Linked DNA regions of Saccharomyces cerevisiae S288C. Changing the gene in region 2 together with the main gene of any one other region gives a genetic interaction. Each region holds a gene or a part of one and is shown on either strand. Other genes may lie near its edges.

The links.
Region 1: of SPO1 (region 2) and ATG26, extra expression of one rescues a mutant of the other (dosage rescue), as found in Saccharomyces cerevisiae (one study listed by BioGRID).
Region 3: mutations in SPO1 (region 2) and SRX1 together harm fitness more than expected from each alone (negative genetic interaction), as found in Saccharomyces cerevisiae (one large-scale study listed by BioGRID).
Region 4: mutations in SPO1 (region 2) and MPF1 together harm fitness more than expected from each alone (negative genetic interaction), as found in Saccharomyces cerevisiae (one large-scale study listed by BioGRID).

What each region holds. Positions count from the first base shown.
Region 1 is NC_001144.5:530,126-536,155, forward strand, and holds ATG26 (sterol 3-beta-glucosyltransferase), read right to left. Parts: upstream 4,269-6,030; coding exon 672-4,268; downstream 1-671. Other genes in the region: ATP-binding cassette permease MDL1, read left to right, coding at 1-262; MMR1 (Mmr1p), read left to right, coding at 5,089-6,030.
Region 2 is NC_001146.8:607,547-612,291, reverse strand, and holds SPO1 (putative carboxylic ester hydrolase), read right to left. Parts: upstream 2,607-4,745; coding exon 2,502-2,606; intron 2,418-2,501; coding exon 627-2,417; downstream 1-626. Other genes in the region: YNL011C (uncharacterized protein), read left to right, coding at 1-456; HEF3 (translation elongation factor EF-3), read right to left, coding at 2,839-4,745. UniProt on the Saccharomyces cerevisiae protein: Regulates spindle pole duplication in meiosis I, but not in mitosis. Required for meiosis I, meiosis II chromosome segregation and spore formation. Binds phosphatidylinositol (4)P mono- and polyphosphates.
Region 3 is NC_001143.9:275,953-279,164, forward strand, and holds SRX1 (sulfiredoxin), read left to right. Parts: upstream 1-2,328; coding exon 2,329-2,712; downstream 2,713-3,212. Other genes in the region: phosphopantothenoylcysteine decarboxylase complex subunit CAB3, read left to right, coding at 1-1,046; cytochrome c1 heme lyase CYT2, read right to left, coding at 1,237-1,911; malate dehydrogenase MDH1, read left to right, coding at 3,171-3,212. UniProt on the Saccharomyces cerevisiae protein: Contributes to oxidative stress resistance by reducing cysteine-sulfinic acid formed under exposure to oxidants in the peroxiredoxin TSA1.
Region 4 is NC_001146.8:352,055-357,138, forward strand, and holds MPF1 (Mpf1p), read right to left. Parts: upstream 2,989-5,084; coding exon 766-2,988; downstream 1-765. Other genes in the region: MFA2 (mating pheromone a), read left to right, coding at 360-476; YNL143C (uncharacterized protein), read right to left, coding at 4,740-5,084.

The DNA.
Region 1 (6,030 bases), on a different chromosome or scaffold from region 2:
AGAAATAGTTGCCAAAAATCTTCAGAGACGTGTGGAAAGGGGGTTCACTACTATATCAATTGCACATAGGCTTTCGACGATCAAACACAGTACTAGGGTGATTGTGTTAGGAAAACATGGCTCAGTGGTTGAAACCGGTTCATTCCGAGATCTAATCGCCATTCCTAATAGTGAACTAAATGCGCTGCTTGCCGAACAGCAGGACGAGGAAGGAAAAGGGGGAGTGATAGATTTGGACAATAGTGTTGCCCGGGAAGTATAAGAAGTTGCCGCAGTATGGAATCACTTTTCTATGCCACAGTTATGGTATGTGTTGGAAGACAATTAATTATCGCATTATGTTTGCTGAATATGAAATTGTGTATTCTATAATTTAAATGATGCCCAATGTAATTTACACAAACAGTTTTTTTTTAAAGCTCCTTGTACGCCTTTATACACATTAAATTAATATTAGATGCACAACATACGGTACGTTTAGGAAACTCAAATTAAGCTTTATTTTTTTACTTTTTTATTATTGTTACTATTATTCTTATTATCAACATTATCGTTTTCATATCTTTCCTGAGTACAAATATGACTGAAACTTACAAAAAAAAAATTAATTATTTATTACTATTAATGATTAGATGTTACGCTTTTTTATAAAAGTGAGAGTGATACTCGGTTTAAATCATCGTCCACCCTTCATCCGTTGTTTCAGCAGGTGTCAGTTTGGTTGCATCTACATTTTCCTCTTTCTTGCGCGGAGTTTTCACTCTTGATAAAGTAACGCTTCTTGCATACTCAAGTTCGTTGTAAATTGCACTTATTGCAGTTTTAATCCCATCTTCTTTGGAAATTTTCTTCTTTATTAATCCAGCTCTATCCTTCATTATTTTGTTCGTCGTAGCTACTTTTAAAGCATCTGCTAATGTTTGAGCGTTAAGTTTCTTTAAAGCAATACCAACTCCAATGTCTTCTACTCTACCTGCATAAAAGAACTGATCACCAAAGAAAGGTTTTATAACAGTAGGTAAACCAGCACGTAATGAAGCTCCAGTAGTTCCAGAACCACCATGGTGAACGGCAGCATCGACTTGTGGGAACAACCAATCATGGGGAACGTTTCCGATATTTAAAATGTTTCTTGGAAGATCTACCTCTGTCTTCTTTGCCGCCTTATCGCCCAACCTTTCTGACCATCCCTTATTTAAAATGCAGTATACATCTGCTTCCATAACTGCTTCGACAAGAGCTTCCGTCATTTCTTTGGCATTAGAGACTACAATCGAACCAAACCCGATATAAACCAATTTTTTTCCTTTTGATCTTGCCTCAGAAATAAATTCTTGTAATTCTGCTGGCGGTTTGAAAGTACTCTTATCATCAAGAAACCAATATCCTGTAACTCTCACCCACTCGCTAAAATCAATTGATGGCGGAAAAATTGTAGGAGAAACATTGTATAAGAAAGGAACATTATTCTGCTGTAAAAGAAAAAGATTTGTTTTCCCTAAACCTAGAGTTTCAACTCTCCACTTGTTTACTTGCCCACTAATTCCCTTCCAGAAAACGTTTTCGAAAAGGACATGTGTCAGGTAGTTATAGTTACCGCCCCTTTTTTGATCTGGTACAATAAATGCATGTGGATATGCTCTTGTTCTTGTCCATGGCATGGTAAATGCTCGAAAATAAGGAATTTGCAATGCTTCAGTAATATGAATACCAACCATAGCTGAGGGTGATTCAATCAGAATATCAAATTTTCTTCTGTTACAAACCTCCCAAGATGTCTGTAAAAGAGCATCGATCCATCCCCTAAATTTGCTCGAAGCTTCTCTCAGCATTTTAACATTCATTGATTCATTTTCCACCATCAAGGACATCAACTCCACTGGGTTACCAGCAATCTCTTCAAACTGGATTCCATGACTTTCAACAAAGTCTCTAAATTCCGAATGTGTAATTATTACCACTTGGTGACCTTCTTTTATCAAGCCCTTTCCAAGTGCAATATATGGTTGAACATCCCCTCTTGAGCCAATCGTCAATAATCCAAACTTATAACTCTTGTTTGGTTTTATGCTTGTTTTATAGTGCGGATTCTCATCAATCATTAACGGTACCTCAAAGCCCTCGGCATTAATTTTATCTTCGAAAAGCTTCAACTTCGCTGAGTCAGGGTTATGCTGAACATCGCCAAGAGAAGCACTCGATATATTCGATCCTTCTGCACTGCTTGCATATATGTTATCTAAGAGCTTTAAAAGAATGCGTTCAATATCATCCCTGGCGACCTCAGTGCTAAATTCAAAAAATAGCTCCTCGTGACCGTGAATTACTATAACCAATACAAAATAACCAAATCGAAATCCCTTTTCTTTATAGCATGTCTCCACATCAACCAATGGCAAAACCATGTATGTATTAGACCCTGGTAATAACGATCTGAAGCACACCGTATCATTGGATACGTAAATCTTACCATAAACGGGAACATTTCTATTCAGGTATGTGTAGTAAGTACTGATTAGTGACTTCTCTTTATTAAACTTGAAATGGTACCTGAACCGCTCGTTAGCAGAAACCTCTTCTGTTTCTTTAATCAAATAGGTATCATCCTTTTGAAACGGGATAAACTTGTTCCGGTAGTGTATTGGTTTGGCAGCCCACATTTCGGCAAAATTTTTGAGGTGACTTGGCTTCCAAGCTACGGTTTGCTCTTGACTATCTTCTTGTTCATGAATATGAATCGTGGAATGCACAGAAGAGTCTATATCATTCGCCGCATCTTTATATATTTCCTCCACATCCTCAACTTGAGAATCTTCAAGAGGTTTAGCTCTACGAAACCAACTATTGCTTCTTTCTCTAAATCTGAATCGACTCTTTTTCCCATTTTCCGAAGAAGGCACAGCCGAAGTTGGAACATTCAAATATTTTGAATCCTCGCCGTTATTCTTTTGCTCAACTGTAGCTGGTGTCTCTTTTCCAAAACTTGATTTTGATTTCTTGGCTGGAATATCATAATAAAGTGTATTAACACCGGATTTCTGCAATATAGCCAACTGTTCGCCAAGGCTCTCTTTGACCTGACTACCGGACCCATCCATGAAAACAAACATGAAATCATCGATAGCATAGGTCTGTGAGCTCTCCAAAGCTCTTAATCTCAATGTTAAAGCTTTGTTGACTATAGGTTGATCATCTATCTCTATAATGTTGGGCAGCGGAATTTTTAAACTTATCGAATTGTTTTCAGAATTCTGAGCTGCGAACTGCTCCTTTTTCAAAGCGTTCACCCACGATTTAGCGGAGAACTCTGAATCTGCATTGAATTTGAATGTACTTTCATCTGTGTAAAGCTTAAATGTTTTCGTAGCACTCCCGTTTAAGGTATGTTTTTGTGTTTCAATTTTTTGGACCTCCCTCAAATCTATGGTTAAAACCGGAAAGTATAGCTCAGTTGATGAGGTATACATAGAAAATAAATGATTCTTTAGTACGCACCAATACCTGGTAGACCTAATTAGTTTTGTCCTGATATTAAGGTTTCCAGACATTTTAACCGACCGAGGATTCTTAGGTAAATATGCAAAGAATAGGAAATGTTTTGTTGTAATAAAAATATGGCCTTGAACCAACACATCTTTAAGTAGCCATGCAGGGAAATCATTCAAAAATGGTTCCTGTTCGTCTAAACAAAACCGCTGTCTCAACTTAGCCACATTGTCTTTTGACAGTTTTTCCCTAGTTATTGAGAAGTCGAATAAAGTTGGCTTTCTTTTGTCTAATCTTGGTACTTCCGGATGCGATTTAGTTTTGAGATTTTCCTTTTTGCTTTTTACCTCATTTCGACCAATGTTTTCCTGGAAACTATCACTGGAATCAGATTCTTCAGAATCAACTTGCGACAACACATTCATTTCTTGAGCATTATTCATCCCTGCATACACACTAGCAGTAGTTAATAAACCGGCAATACTTTTCATCATATACTTGGATTTCGCCAAGTCATCTGCATTATCGTTATTGTAACCGTTTTCGTCATCATCACTACGGGCTTCATTTGGACTGTCCTGCAGTTCTTGCTGCTCAGACGACCCCATCGATAAACTGCTATTTGATCTTCCTCTCCAGCGCTTGAACTTCGAAAGTGACCTTGAAAGGCGATGATGCCTAGGGGAAGTTTCTGGCTCAGATGGCTTATCAGGTACCAACGAAATGCTTGGTTTTGGCCCCGCCTCGCTATCAGACGCTGATATGATTTGAGTGATGGGCATTCTTTTAAGTTATACGGATTTTCACCAAAGCATAAAGTGCAACTGAACTTCTGATGTTTACTTTTTGACAGCCATGACTTTATCAGTGATAAATGCAATGACTTTCCGATCTACTCCTTCTGTTGACTTTTAGTCCCTTTTTTCTTAGATGTTATGTTACAGTCACATCAGGGTTAAGTTTTTCCAAGTCATCTCAAAACAATGACCTATTTTATTTCTAGATAAACCCTGGTGTAAGCAGGGTTAATTTTGTCCCAAACGGGCAAAATATAAATACCCCTTTCGGGAAATAAACTAAAAAGAGTTCTAATTAGCCAATTGGCAAGAAAGCTCGATGAAGAATCATTATGGGTTTAGAAATCAGATTTCCTTACTTTACAAGTTCTCTCACGCAAGCTTGATCGTTTTTAAATTTTCTACGTTCATTCAAGACAAAGTGGTTACAGATAGAAGTTTTTCTCACATTTAGATTATTTTTTCCTGATAGTATTAAATAACACGTACGATCAACAAATTGTTGCTCAGTTTAAGTGAGCCTAGAGAATTAAGCTTTATTACTGCTGTATTTTCTGTTATTTTGATTGCCTTGGGAATAAAGGAAAGGTTTGGAGGGGCACATCTTCCTAAATAGCAGTAAGGAAAAAGAATCGCGTGTGAAGTCTTTTAAATCAACATAGTTATCCTCGGTTCCAACTATTTTACTTTCGTTTCAATTCCGTTGTTCTTAACTAATCTTCTTTTCTTTTAACTTGTTACAAGCCAGTACTCATTGCAAAATCAAAAAAAAAAAACACAACTAATAAACTAAACAACTAAAAAAATGAATTCTCCAACAATGAAATCGGAACAACTTACTCCAAAACTCTCACCAATGTCCTTTTGTTTGGATGACCAAAGAAATGCAGGCTCTTTTCAAAATCTATTGAACTCACCTACGAAGCTAAAATTAGACACTGGCCCGATTGGTAATTCCTTGTTATATCCAACATCACTCTCTAAATTGAGCGAGTTATCAAGAGGTGGACGTTCTAAACAAAGAAGGGGCTCTGACACTATGAGGTCTGTATCGCCTATTAGGTTTCAGTTTTTGAACAACACTCCAAAGATGTTAAAACCCGAGTACCTATCTCAAACAACCAGTAATCTGCCATTGCTATCTGCCCTATTGAAGAATAGCAAGAAAACTACTAGTGAAGGCCAGAATTCAAACCCTGATCCATTGAACATAGAGAAAAACATCATTAAACAAAGCATCAAGGACAAACTAGAGCAGCTGCGCAGTTCAGAATCCGTTGCGCAAGTACAAAAGAAAGAACGCAATCCCCCTTCATTTGAGGCCAAAGTCTGTGCGGAAGAACCGATATTACGGAAAAACGCCGAAGGGTTGCTCCCCTCATACGTTCCTGTTCCTGCTACTCCTTTGGAAGATCCAGAAAATCATGGGGTGCGAAAGGTCGAGGACAAAGGACTTAGAGTCGTCTCCGGCGGCTCCACTCAGTGTCTAAGCACCGAAGTGAACGAATTGCCTAAGGATCTGAATCTAGACAATTTACCTACGGATAATAACGGGTTCGTTCAATATGGTCTCAAAGGCAATAACAACAACAACAGATATAGCTTTATCTCGTCTACGTCGACGGACTATGAGCCCGAATGGTGTGACGGACAACAACATATTTCAATGCAAATGGCCTCTATGGCCAATGCAGAGGAGGCAAATAGTCGTGAAAAATCGAATTTAGACATAAAGATCAAGCAGCTA
Region 2 (4,745 bases):
GGAAATCCAAGAGCTATTTCCAAGGTGAAAAAAGCTGACATGGTCGTTTATTCTATCGGTTCTTTAATGACAAGTTTACTCCCAATCCTTATTCTTGGTAATCTTGCTGAAGTAATTTTGGAATCTAATAATACGAAAAAAGTTTTGCTCATAAATAATAAATATGATAGAGAGGTTTTTGGTTTAGACGGTTTACACTACGTTCAAATGATCATAGATTCTATGAGTAGGGCAATAGCAGGCTATAGGCAATCTAAGGGTGTCCATTCAGAGAATGATGACTTTGAATGGCAAGATTTTATTACTGATATTGTTTACCTAAAAAATGGTGAAATTGAAATTGATGAAACGATATTCGAGAAGCATAGTATTAGATGCCACCAGATCGCGTCTTCGGATAAGATGGAAAGTGAAGAACTTGAAAAGGTTCTGAATCAAATTGGCCTTAAAAACTGATGCAACTATGTCGCTCATTAACGGTTATTATAGTGAAGACTACATAATAAAGACATAGATAATAAAAAAGAATCGCGTTTGAACCATGTTTTATTTAACCATATGGCATAGAAGAAAAGTAAAAAAGGTGAACAAAAACTCATTAAATTTCACAGAAAAAGTCTACTCTCTTATGAGTAACAGTAGTCTTTAAAGCATTGTAAGCAAAATGGCGAAAATTTCTTTTTTCTTGGGAGCCTGTCCATTGTTCTTTTGGTTAATATACAGCCTAAGCAATTTTTATAATAAAGGTCATAATCATTGCTAAACACTCCCCTTCCAGTGGGTAACATACTGCTAACTTCAGACTGATTGTAAGTTATTTTGAATGTCGACGTATTAGATGCGTTTCCATGATTCGCATTGGCATGATAAATTATAATTGGCAAAAATGAATCATGTCCAGTTCTTTTGGTAGCATTGCATCCTATAACAATGGGGTGAGTGAATGTTTTTACATTGTTCGGAAATTGGTAATGAACGTTCTCTTCATCTAATTTTTCGAATATCCTTTTTAACTTGGAGCCGTTTGGATAGTTGTCAATATCCGAACTAGAATCCAGAACAAAAATTACATCTAGTTCCCTTTCAGGAATCACCAATGTTCTGAGTGGAATATTCTCGCCGTCTTCTCCGCCGTCTACAAGGTATAAATGATTTTTGTTAGTTAGGACATTGTCTTTTTCAGGATAAAGATAAAAGGGATTGGGTTGATATACGGCATAGTCTGTCTCTAATCTCGAGGAGTCTTTCGAAATACTAAATATTTCCTCTTTACCTAGGCCAAAAATTCCCATAACCATATTCAAAGCTTTCATTGCTTCTCTGGAGGACTGAGAAGCCAAATTCCAGATGAAGATGAGCACATTGTTGAATATTGAAGAAGACGTCGCAGTAATAAAACCTAGATCATCAAAGTTATTAATACACTTCTCGGCCTTTCCAGAAACAATTTTTGAGCCCAAATAGGGCAACTTGACGAAAAGTCTGAGGATATTTTCCCAAGATCCAAATTCAAAGGGCGTAAATTCAAATATAACGTTTGAAAGAAGTCCATTTTTGCAATTTGCAACGAATATTGGGATCGGCACACTGCATTCCTTAAATTTTTTAGACGAGTTTACAAGCTTCGAAAACGAAAAGGAATGGTTGGGATCGTCATCGAAATTTTTTTTTAGTCTTTGAACGATTGCTTTACCCCAATAATCGGTGAACGATATTTGGAAACCCTCCATTTTTTTAGGCTTAATTTTCAAATGCAAACTTTTGTAAAAGTCTAGCACTTTTTTAAAGGTTTCAATCTTCGCATCAGTTCCAGTGAAAGTGTTGTTAGGAAAGAATATTTTTTTTAGTCTTGCTAATGGATTCAAGTTTCTCTTCGTTATCATATAGTCTTCTGGGATTTCTTCTATGGAATTCATGATCTCCTCTATTTGTTCATAAAAATTTGAAGAGCTTGTAATCAGAGAACCCCCCTGACGCTTCTTCATCTTCAAATCATTATCATTATACTCCTTTTTTGCATTGGTAACAATTTCTTCTTCGGAAATATCGAATTCCGGTATGCCTAATAAAAGATCCTCTTCAAGGTCCCACTCTTGTAGCAGGGATTTTACTTCAAAATTTTGAACTACCAAATCCATCAAGATCCAACTTCCGCCTGATAATCCAGCAATATAATCCGAATATTCAAAAAGGCCATAATCGTTCATTTGGGAAATAAATCCGGTACCTACTAACATGGATCTGTACCCGCCGCCAGATATAGCAATCCCAATTTTTGGAGGATCTTTCAACACGCGTTTATAAAACTTCGAACTAAACTTTGCCTCTGTCAAGGATTTTAAAAACTGAATCAGTTTATTCTTCGTTTTAATTTTTTTTTTCTTCAGATACAAGGTTTCTTCTGGACAGAGTTCATGCTAATAAACAAAGGAATACGAAGTTTTGGTATATTCGGTTAGTTTTGGCCCATATTTGTTAAAGTGGCAAAGAGTTTAACTTACTTTGGCCTCCCTAATAAGTGGAGAGCTAGGACATTGTACCTGAAATGGTGCTGTTGCTAGTACTACTGTCAATAACACAGAAAAGACAAAGAGGAGTTTTTGCATTATTTTGGGATATTTATGTCTTTACTTAGGTTTTTTACTTGTATACTTTCTCTGAGTGCATTTACTTAAATATGGTTGTATAGCCGCTGAAGTATGTTTTTTTTTACCTTTCTTTGTGAAAATCAGTAATAGAAAATAAACATAAAAAAAATAAAAATATAAAAAAAGAATAAGGATGTTAACTTCAAAAATATATAAGTTACTCACTGAAAGAGATGTACTCGACTTCAAATTAAAAATCTTCATCAGAAGAAACGTATTCATCACCCATCTCTTTTTTCTTCTTCATTCTCTCCTTCTTTTTCTTTCTCAATTCTGCAGAAGAGAGTTTGCTTTTTTTCTTCCCACTATTAATCTTGTTACCCATAGCATCAAATTTATCACCCTCTTCTTCTTTTTTCTCAATTCTTGGGCCAGCACCTTGTCCTGCAACCCAATTATGGCCAGAGGGTGTCATTTTCCCATCCTTAACCGCCCAAACTTCGTCAGTCAGATTCTTAGTAAATTCTGCCGAATGCGTAATAATAATGACACCACCTTCAAAAGCTTTTAATGCTTTTGAAAGAGCACCCAATGAATCTCTGTCCAAGTAATTCGTAGGTTCATCTAAAACAATCAAATGGGGTCTTTGCCACGTGCAGGCAGCGAGTACCAATTTAACCTTTTGCCCACCCGATAAACCTCTAATTCTTGAATGTGAGACTAATTCTGAATCCAACCCCAACATGGCGCAATGTAATTCAATCTCTTTTCTTGTTAAAGCCCTGAATTGACCAGAAGCCAAAGCTTCCTTCATATCAATTTCAGCAACCATTTTAGAATGGGATTCAATCAATTCGCCCCTTGGTAGCCAAGCATTGTCGACAGACATCATTGGAACCCATCTTTCAGATTTCATACCAATGTTCTCACCTAACAAAAACGAACATTCGTACTCATACGTGTTTTTAAATTTCCTTCTTGAATGGATTCCTGCAACCCTTCTTGGGGTCCCTTCAATTTTAAATATTTTATTCATGGCCTCTGCGTCATTTTCATTTATTTGCCTATTTGCTCTATCCATTGTTTCCCTATCCTCACCAGTTTGGAACCTCCATTGAATGTATTCGGATGGAGTTTTGTCTAAGTGCGATTCAATGTGTGCAAAAGCGTGCTGCTTAATATACGCTATACGACAATTCTCGTGTGTATATACTTCACCGCTGGTTGGTAACAGTTCACCAGTAAGAACATTAATTAAAGTGGACTTACCAGCCCCATTAGGTCCGATAACTGCAATCCTTGAGGATAGAGAACACTGGAAAGTAACATCTGAGACTTGTGGTTTAGTTGTCCCTGGATATTGAAAAGTCATATTACTTACTTTAACAATTGCCTTTTGCTTCGTTTTGACACCTTCTAGATAACCAGGAGTTGGGAATTGAAATTCAAGGTCAGAGGCACCTAATTCATAGTATGATTGTGCCGTAGGACATTTTTGAACAAATTCTGATAAATTACCCTTGTACTTTCTTAATTTAAGACCCTCATAATGTATGATGTATTGACAAACCTTATCCAGAAAACCAGAATCATGAGAGACAATCACCGATGTAATTCCGCAAGTATTCAAATAATTTACCAGCCACTCCACATTAACAGTGTCTAGATGATTTGTTGGTTCATCCAATAGTAGAATGTCAGCGTCCTTCAGAACAGCCCTCGCCAAAGCTAATTTCATTTTCCAACCTCCAGATAGGGATGCAATTGGCATTTCTATCATTTCATCGCTGAACCCAAACTCCTTTAATTTCGAGGTAATAACATCCTTAGTTCCTACATTGCCGGAATATACAAAATCTAAAACGGACATGTCCGAATGTGTATTATCGATATCGTGTTCCACATAAACAGTGCGACATTCATCCTGAGTGGGGAACCCGTCAACTTGGCCATTAGCAATGGATCGCATTAGAGTGGATTTTCCGGCACCATTAGGACCACATAGACCATATCTCCTACCTCGCTTCAACCTCAATTGAGTCTTGTTTAGTAATATTTTGGCACCATATGCCAAGGAAAATTCACAATTACACAAATCTTCACCCTCATCCTCTTCGTCTTGGAAATTCGGTCCAACTGGAATATTATCTACTGCCC
Region 3 (3,212 bases), on a different chromosome or scaffold from region 2:
ATTCGGTATCGAGTGGTACGAGCAATAGCGAAGATGAAGTAGATTCACCTTCGATGGAAAAAAATTCTATCGTTCATATGCCAGGTGATTTTATCTACTTCAATCCCAAGTCAAACGCTTCTAAACCTATCACTGCAAAGGCGGCGCCATTATCGGCTAATAACTCCACACATAAAAACAAGGAAGTTATCACTGCACCCACAGGGCCTCGTGTACCCTTCACAGAGTTCTTTCAGAAGGAAGACGACAAGAAATTCCACATTCTCATTGGTGCGACGGGCTCAGTTGCCACAATAAAAGTACCTCTAATTATTGATAAACTTTTCAAGATATATGGGCCTGAGAAAATCTCTATTCAGTTGATTGTCACAAAACCCGCTGAGCATTTTTTGAAAGGGCTCAAAATGTCAACACACGTTAAAATTTGGAGGGAGGAAGACGCTTGGGTATTCGACGCTGTGAATAAGAATGATACTAGCTTGAGTCTGAACTTGATATTGCACCATGAATTAAGAAAATGGGCTGATATTTTCCTGATTGCGCCTTTGTCAGCTAACACACTTGCTAAACTGGCCAATGGTATATGTAACAATTTGCTAACTTCTGTGATGAGAGATTGGTCACCACTGACCCCAGTGTTGATTGCGCCTGCAATGAATACATTCATGTATATCAATCCTATGACAAAGAAACACCTGACGAGTTTAGTGCAAGACTATCCGTTCATCCAAGTTTTGAAACCGGTGGAAAAGGTATTAATATGCGGAGATATTGGTATGGGTGGTATGAGAGAATGGACAGATATTGTAGAGATCGTTAGGAGGAGAATCAATGAAATACGGAAAGCTAGGGACGAGGAAACTGGTGATAAAGAGCAAGAACAAGAAGAACAAGAGGGTGCTGACAATGAGGACGACGATGATGAGGATGACGAAGAGGATGAGGAGGACGAGGAGGAGGAAGAAGCTCTAAATGAAACAGCATCCGATGAGAGCAATGACGAGGAAGACGAAGAGGATGAGGAAGACGTGAAAACCGAAGTTTAAATGCATTAGAAAAGAGTATTTTGTGTTATGTTTTATGTTTTATTTTTTTTTTTTTTGTTTATTCCTTAAAAGAAGATTACTGCTTTTTCATTCCCTAGTTTCTAAATTGAGTGCCTAAATAAGATTAAATAAATATGTATGTGGAAACTAGGGAGGGTATGTTTTTATTTACAGGAATAGTTGTAGTAATTCAAAAGCCTAAAGATTTCCAGAACCGTAATCTAAAGCCCTCAAAACTGTTTAATTTTGGTCTAACATCGAGATAAATAAGTGGTTGTTGCTGCGAGTTTGCATCGTTCAGATCGGTGGAATAGAAATCGATTACGTAGTCGACGGTTTTACCGCATCTATCTATCTGCCAATCATGTCTATCAAAAGGTTTGGCCAGGTGCAAGATACGGGACCTGAACCAGGCCCTTGGTGTCAGTTTTTTGGAATCACCTTTAAAATTTGTTAATTTGATACCGCCACACGCTTCACCACCCTGCTTGTCTTCCCAGCTTTTAATGTAGTTCCAAACCCGCTCATTGATGGAGTTATGTAAAGGCACAACCACCTTCATGTCATCTGAGTTCGGATCCCAATTTTTTTTCATCATTGCCTCGTAAAATTGTTTCTCCGACGGGTATATCCAGTTTCTGTCAGAATTCGTCCTTGGTATGGTGGAAACCTCTCTGGACTGAGAGAGATCCACCGTGGTGTGATATTCAGGCGTTTTATCGTTATCTTGTGGGTTTGCAGAGCACTCTAGTTGATTGCCTGGGGCAGTAGCACCAGGATGCGCTTCGTTGCCATGTTCTCGTAGCCATAACTTTTTGGTTTCCTCATCTACGGGGCATTTCCCCTGTTGGTCTGAAGACATCATAATATGTAAAATAGAGACGAATGAAAAGCACGTGAACTAACAAACTATTTACTACTACCGAAATGTGATGCTTAAGCCTTTGGCCTCTGCAATACTAGCGATTGCTTTTTCCCTGATTAGTAAGCTACATCATTTATACTACATCTTTCTGTCTTAGAAGGCTTACAAACATCGAAAAGCTGGAACTTTGATTTCGAAAAAAATATGCCGTTACCCGTTGCGGGTCCCTTTTTTTTAGAAGGCCGGCCCAGAAGTCGCCATTATTTTTAGTCATTACAGTAGCCCTGTTGGGTAAGGATGCGATGCAATACATGTCAAGAGGTGTTGTATATAAACCACAATATCTACCATCAATGAGCTATATATACTTTTCTTACTGAAAAAAAAAACTACAAAACCAAGTAAAAAAAGAACAATATGTCACTACAAAGCAACAGTGTAAAACCAACAGAAATTCCTCTCTCAGAGATCAGACGCCCCCTAGCGCCTGTGTTGGATCCTCAAAAGATCGACGCAATGGTGGCCACAATGAAGGGCATTCCCACCGCTAGCAAGACATGCTCTCTAGAACAGGCTGAGGCGGCTGCCTCAGCCGGGGAACTGCCGCCCGTGGACGTGCTGGGCGTGCGAGTCAAGGGACAGACGCTATATTATGCCTTCGGCGGCTGCCACCGTCTACAGGCATACGACCGCCGGGCTCGCGAAACGCAGAACGCCGCCTTCCCCGTGCGCTGCAGGGTGCTACCGGCCACTCCCCGCCAAATCCGCATGTACCTGGGCAGCAGTCTCGACATCGAATAATGATTACGCTAATAACACTACATAAGAAACATAGATAAATTATAATTCACTAATACAAAATCCCTCAATTTAATTAATCAATTTCTTATTCAACAACTAGAGTAGGCACTAGCAGTTTGTGCGACCCTCGGCGCCGGAGAGGTACAAGGGACCTGGCGGTTGGGCCTTCCTGCCAGCTTCTCCCCCCCTTCTCGGCATTCACTCAGCGTTCATTGGCTCAATCACGCGCCAAGCGGATTCCCAGAAAAATACAAAAAAAAGTTGCCATAATACAATGGCGGATATTACAATATATATAGCTTGCGCTTTAAAAAGAAGTGTTAGCACGCATTGGGTGTTTGTACTGTATTCCTCCACTTAAGATAACGAATACACATATAGATATACAATATATTATACGTGGACATCTACGGAAAGGAAGAAAAAAAACAAAAGGAAAAGGAAGGATACCATATACAATGTTGTCAAGAGTAGCTAAACGTGCGTTTTCCTCTACAGTT
Region 4 (5,084 bases), 260 kb from region 2:
AAATACTAATGCAATAATAGGTACACCATCTACTACATAATTAATTGATAGTTTCCTTTTCCGTTAAGTGCATGCATAGGACGCCCATAATTTTTTAAGTTAAAAAAGCATGTATTTACCTATTCGGGAAATTTACATGACATGGATGCCATAAGGAACGAAAATGAAACATGCATGTCAGAGGAAAAAGAACAAAGCGAGAGGAAAAAGCTGTTGCATTACCACGTAATTTTGTATATAAATATCTGATAAATAACCATTTTATTTCCATCCACTTCTTCTGTCGTTCATCCGTTCATTGACATCACTAGAGACACCAGCGAGCTATCATCTTCATACAACAATAACTACCAACCTTAATGCAACCGATCACCACTGCTTCCACACAAGCCACTCAGAAGGATAAATCCTCTGAAAAGAAAGACAACTATATAATCAAGGGCCTCTTCTGGGATCCCGCCTGTGTTATCGCTTAATTTTTGACGACAACCAAGAGGTCAAATCAATATCTACCCTTTCATTTATTACGTGTTGCTGGCAAACTAATTTATTCCAATTCTCTCATCATTAGCTCACCCTTTCCATACTTTTTCATACTTTTATACATATGTATTTGTAGTTATCACTTTAACAGATTTTTTCATGTTTTTCTTTTCTGATACGCCTTTCCCTCCGCAGGAAATGAAAGATGAACCACCCATTACATTCGATTTTTTTTTTAATTATATTTTTGACTATTATTTAATCATTAAAAACACATATATTTCATAAATTCGTAAGGTCGTTAGTTCTATCGTAAAAGTGAAAAAGTTTTGAGCCAGTTTTCAAAAACCCGCAGGATCCCACTATGTATGGCTTTAAATAATGGTTTTTCACGTGCATCAAGTCCGTACTATCTTCACCACTATAAACTCTTATAGGTGGATTATTCGTTTCGAATGCTGGTGGCAGTGCCGGTTTGAAAATAATCTTACCTACCCATGGGTGGTCTTCCGTTAACGGTTTGATGCATCTTAATGAGTCTTTGATATATCTTTTCCTTGAAACTAGTTGTGTCGCCGGTGCCCACTTCGAATCGTTACTGGATTGATTCTTATTTCCACATTTTAGTGACAATTTCTTTGGAAAATCATGATTTAAACAACCAGTCACGGAAAAGCTTTTCGTACTGAATATTGTACCGTACTCAACGTCCGCATTCTCATAGCGAGATTCTCTTTCATCCAAATATACCAATCTATTGATGTCATCATCCTCAACATATCCATCTTCATCATCCTCTTCGTAATTAGCATCGTCTTCGTCTTCGTCATCATCTTCATCTCCATTTACATCTTCATTGCCACGGTTTAACTTTTCTTCACGATTCGTACGCTCAGCAGAATTCGAAATAGTTGACCTTCCTGTTCCCTCGTATACCGGTTCAAAATTATTAATTTTCAACACTGACCGATCACAGCGCAAAGGATCTATAGGGTTGGAATTCGATCTACTTCTGAAGTTTTCATGGATGGATGTTTGTGCCGTTAAAACAGAATGTGCTGTGGGAGAAAAAGTGGAAGATAGAACAGAAGTATTGGTATTAGTAGTACTACCATTGTCATCGATTTCTTCTTGAACACTATTCAGTTCCTTCGATCTCATTTTTTGTCCAATGTCCATATTAGAGTTTTTTCTCGAACTGGAATCTGTTTTAAAGAAATTTCTTAGTTTTGATGTAAATAAGCCACAAAAATCAGTTTGAGAACTCTCCCCTGCCAATGAACCAGAGTCATTGGGCCCATTGGAGTCATGACTCGCATCGGATACAGAGGGAGGTAGCAAGCTTAAACTTCTTGATCTTGATTTGTTTGTCGGACGTTCGTTGCCGGTGGCCACTTTTGTTACAACAGAAGAGGTGTGTGATCTTCTTAAAAGTAAAGAGTGGGAGCGAGAATCATTTCTATCACTATTTTGTCTGCTCTTGTTTTTGTTTTTGTTCTTATTGTGTTGCTTAAATCTTCTTGCCCTCGGATGTCTCCTTCTGGGAACGCTTCTATAGGTGGGCATTTCCCTCAATTCCAGATCCAAGGACAGGGATATACCCATGTTCAAATACATAGCCCAATAGATCAATTCGTCTACATGAGAAAACTGCACTAGAAACTGTTGTCCCTCACAACGCATTCTTAAAACAAAATCTCTAGAGGAATAATCTATAGGCAGACCAACTTTGGCACATTGCAGGGAGTAACTCTTAAAGAGGCGCTCATCTGATAAAAATTTGTGCTCGTCTCGTGCTATTTCCCCGCATATCCTTTCCTTGTCATATTTATCGAATTGGTAAGTGGATTTCGTCGTGAACGCATTTAATAACGACCGAGCCGAATGATGGCGATCGCTAGCAGTTTTGGAATGGTGGGAATGGTCAAACATGTCACCACCACGATAGTTTTTAATATGCCTGGTTAATGAATCGTCAATAGAATAAAAGTTTATCTGCGTAGAGTTTATTTGAAGAATAAAGTTGTTCCATAATCGAGAAGAAGCATTTTCAAAGGGCGATAGTTTTTCCATCTTCATAGAAACCACAGTATAGTGTTCTACAGACGGTGTATAACTGGGAGGTTTCACAGAAGTGAGGCACGGACGACAATGCTCATATATAGGGTACCTAATGACTTTAGACGGATTCGCAAAATCATAACACGGAGGTTCCACTGGGTACGGATCTATGCAGTAAAGCACGTTTTTGTCAGCAACATCAACATCTACTCCGGATTGTGGCTCCACTATTTCGTTCATGATGTTTGTGTTAATGTCTGTTATGCTATCGATATGGTTAAAAGTCACTTTCGGAAGCGGAGAATCCAGAATAGAATTACTAGTAGTACTGGAACAAAGAAACTCGTCGCCCATGGATATGGATGAGGCTGTCTGTGAAAGCTTCAGCCCCGTACTATCCATACCGTCGTGGTCTATTGTCATTTCAAAGATGCTGGAGGACATTTTCTGAATAGGTCCGTTTATCTCTTCTGCTGTCTGCGAAAACAACGTAAAAAAATAGTGCTTAGTGTTACTGCCTGTGTAACAACTAGTGCCAAAGTTACAAAGAAACTTCACTAACAGTTTTTGCAATTTACCAAGAAAGCACCAACAAAATAAATAAATAGCATGCCTGTATATATTACGAAAAGTCCTTCAACTACGTCTTCCACTTGCTCTATCCCTTGGCGGAAAACAGAATACATGCAAATTTTAGAGAATTTTTCAAGATGCCTGCCCCCCACATTTTCTTACTTGATCAAGAGCAGATCTGTTCCTTTGCGCAGGGGGTTGCATGGGGGAGAAACTGGCCGGAAGCAGCCGAAAGAAAGTTCGCAAAAAGATAATGGGGACAGTATTAGAGAAAACGGCGTGGAGGGGTATGGAGGAAACAGTTAGCATAGGTAACGAAAAACCGCAGCAAAATAATTCTCTCTTTTTTTCTTTTGACTTAGTTGTGGGACCCGGATCATTCGGTACTGCATCTTATTCCCGTGCCAAGGTCTCTGGGTGTTGCTGATTTCCGGGTATCCAGAGCTCTATCTGCTTCCGTACCCAGTGAGTGAGCTAAAATAAAAAAGGGGCCTCGGCGGAATTTGAATTCGGGTTACGTTTCCCACGGAGCCCCGGATAGAAAAGATTAGTTTCAGGTACATGTGTCAAATGAGGATAAATCTCAAACACCCATGTACCGAAAATCGATGTGTTGGTTATATTACAAGGTTGGAATAGACCACGGTGATAAGACGTGGAATTTTTGACTGACCATGCGACTCTGAAGGTGTTAACCGGAGGAATTCACGTAATTTACATCTCAAGAACAGCAGAACAAAGATCGAGTATATGATGAAATTTCGTTTTACATGAATAAAGTCATATTTTAACTCACTGTGCACGGATTAAGGGCTGTGATTTAGTGGGACGAGTGGTTCTACACTACTCAAGAAGTCACGCTGTCATTTGATGGAATTACAGTGCTTATTAGGAGCCGTGTAGCTTAGTGTGAATTGATGGAAGCTTTCGAGTTTCATAGAACATATCTGGTGAATGTATATGAGTTTTTCATTCCTTTTACGAGACGCAACTTTCCGCGGTTACGGAACTGTTGTTTTGTTTTACATCTTTTCATTTTTCATACATTTTATTGAGGCGTAGAAATGAAATGGGTAGAGCGGCACATGGATGTAACAATCTCCATTATTCACGTCGAGCCGATACCCGCTTCTGTTGACGCTCTGTTAAGCATAGAACCTACGAGATTTGTGCTAAAGGACGTTGGCAAGGAAGAAAACTATTGTTGATGACAGGATTTATAGCAGTAAATATTTTTTTCTTTTTTGCGAAATTATGTACGTTTCTCATCCAAGAAGAATCCTGTTAATATTTAAATTTCTGCTAGTCATTATCATATTGCAATGGCTTTTATTAGTGAAAGCCACTGTCAACAGTAACTGAGCTACTCCCTCCAATGTTGTCTAACTCTATGCTCTTTTTGGCGTCTGAATGAGCCATAACGAGGGAAATAACTGTATCAGGAATACTAACAGAATACAGATTGGATGCACTGGTGCTGGTGAGTTTTCTTTTTCTGATATTATTGGATAATATTTTCAGCTATAGACTATCATCATTCAGCATTGGTCACGCTAAAATATACGTTCCATGCATACGTGATAGCCTACTCGGTTGTCAACTTCATTTTATAGGCTGCCTGGTCACCGATTACCGCCCCGCTCAGCAGGACGGTTTAAGCTTCTGTTCTTGGAAACGACGTAATTCATGTCGGCCATCGAAATCATTCCTGGCTTTGTAATAGTCATAATGAACAAGGAATGCTGTCTTGGGTTTTTTTCCCTTTGCGAATACCCGGGCTGCCAAAATAGAAAAGGAACAAATGGTAGGTCTTTAAGATAAGAAAGATAAGATAAGACATCTTTTTTTTTTTTTTTTTTTTTTTTTTTTTTTTCCGATAACAAAGAAGAATCCTTCGGTCTCTTCTTACTGCTGTTACTGCTTATCAAGAGTGTCTGGTAATAGTCAAAGCCAGATAAGATAAGAAA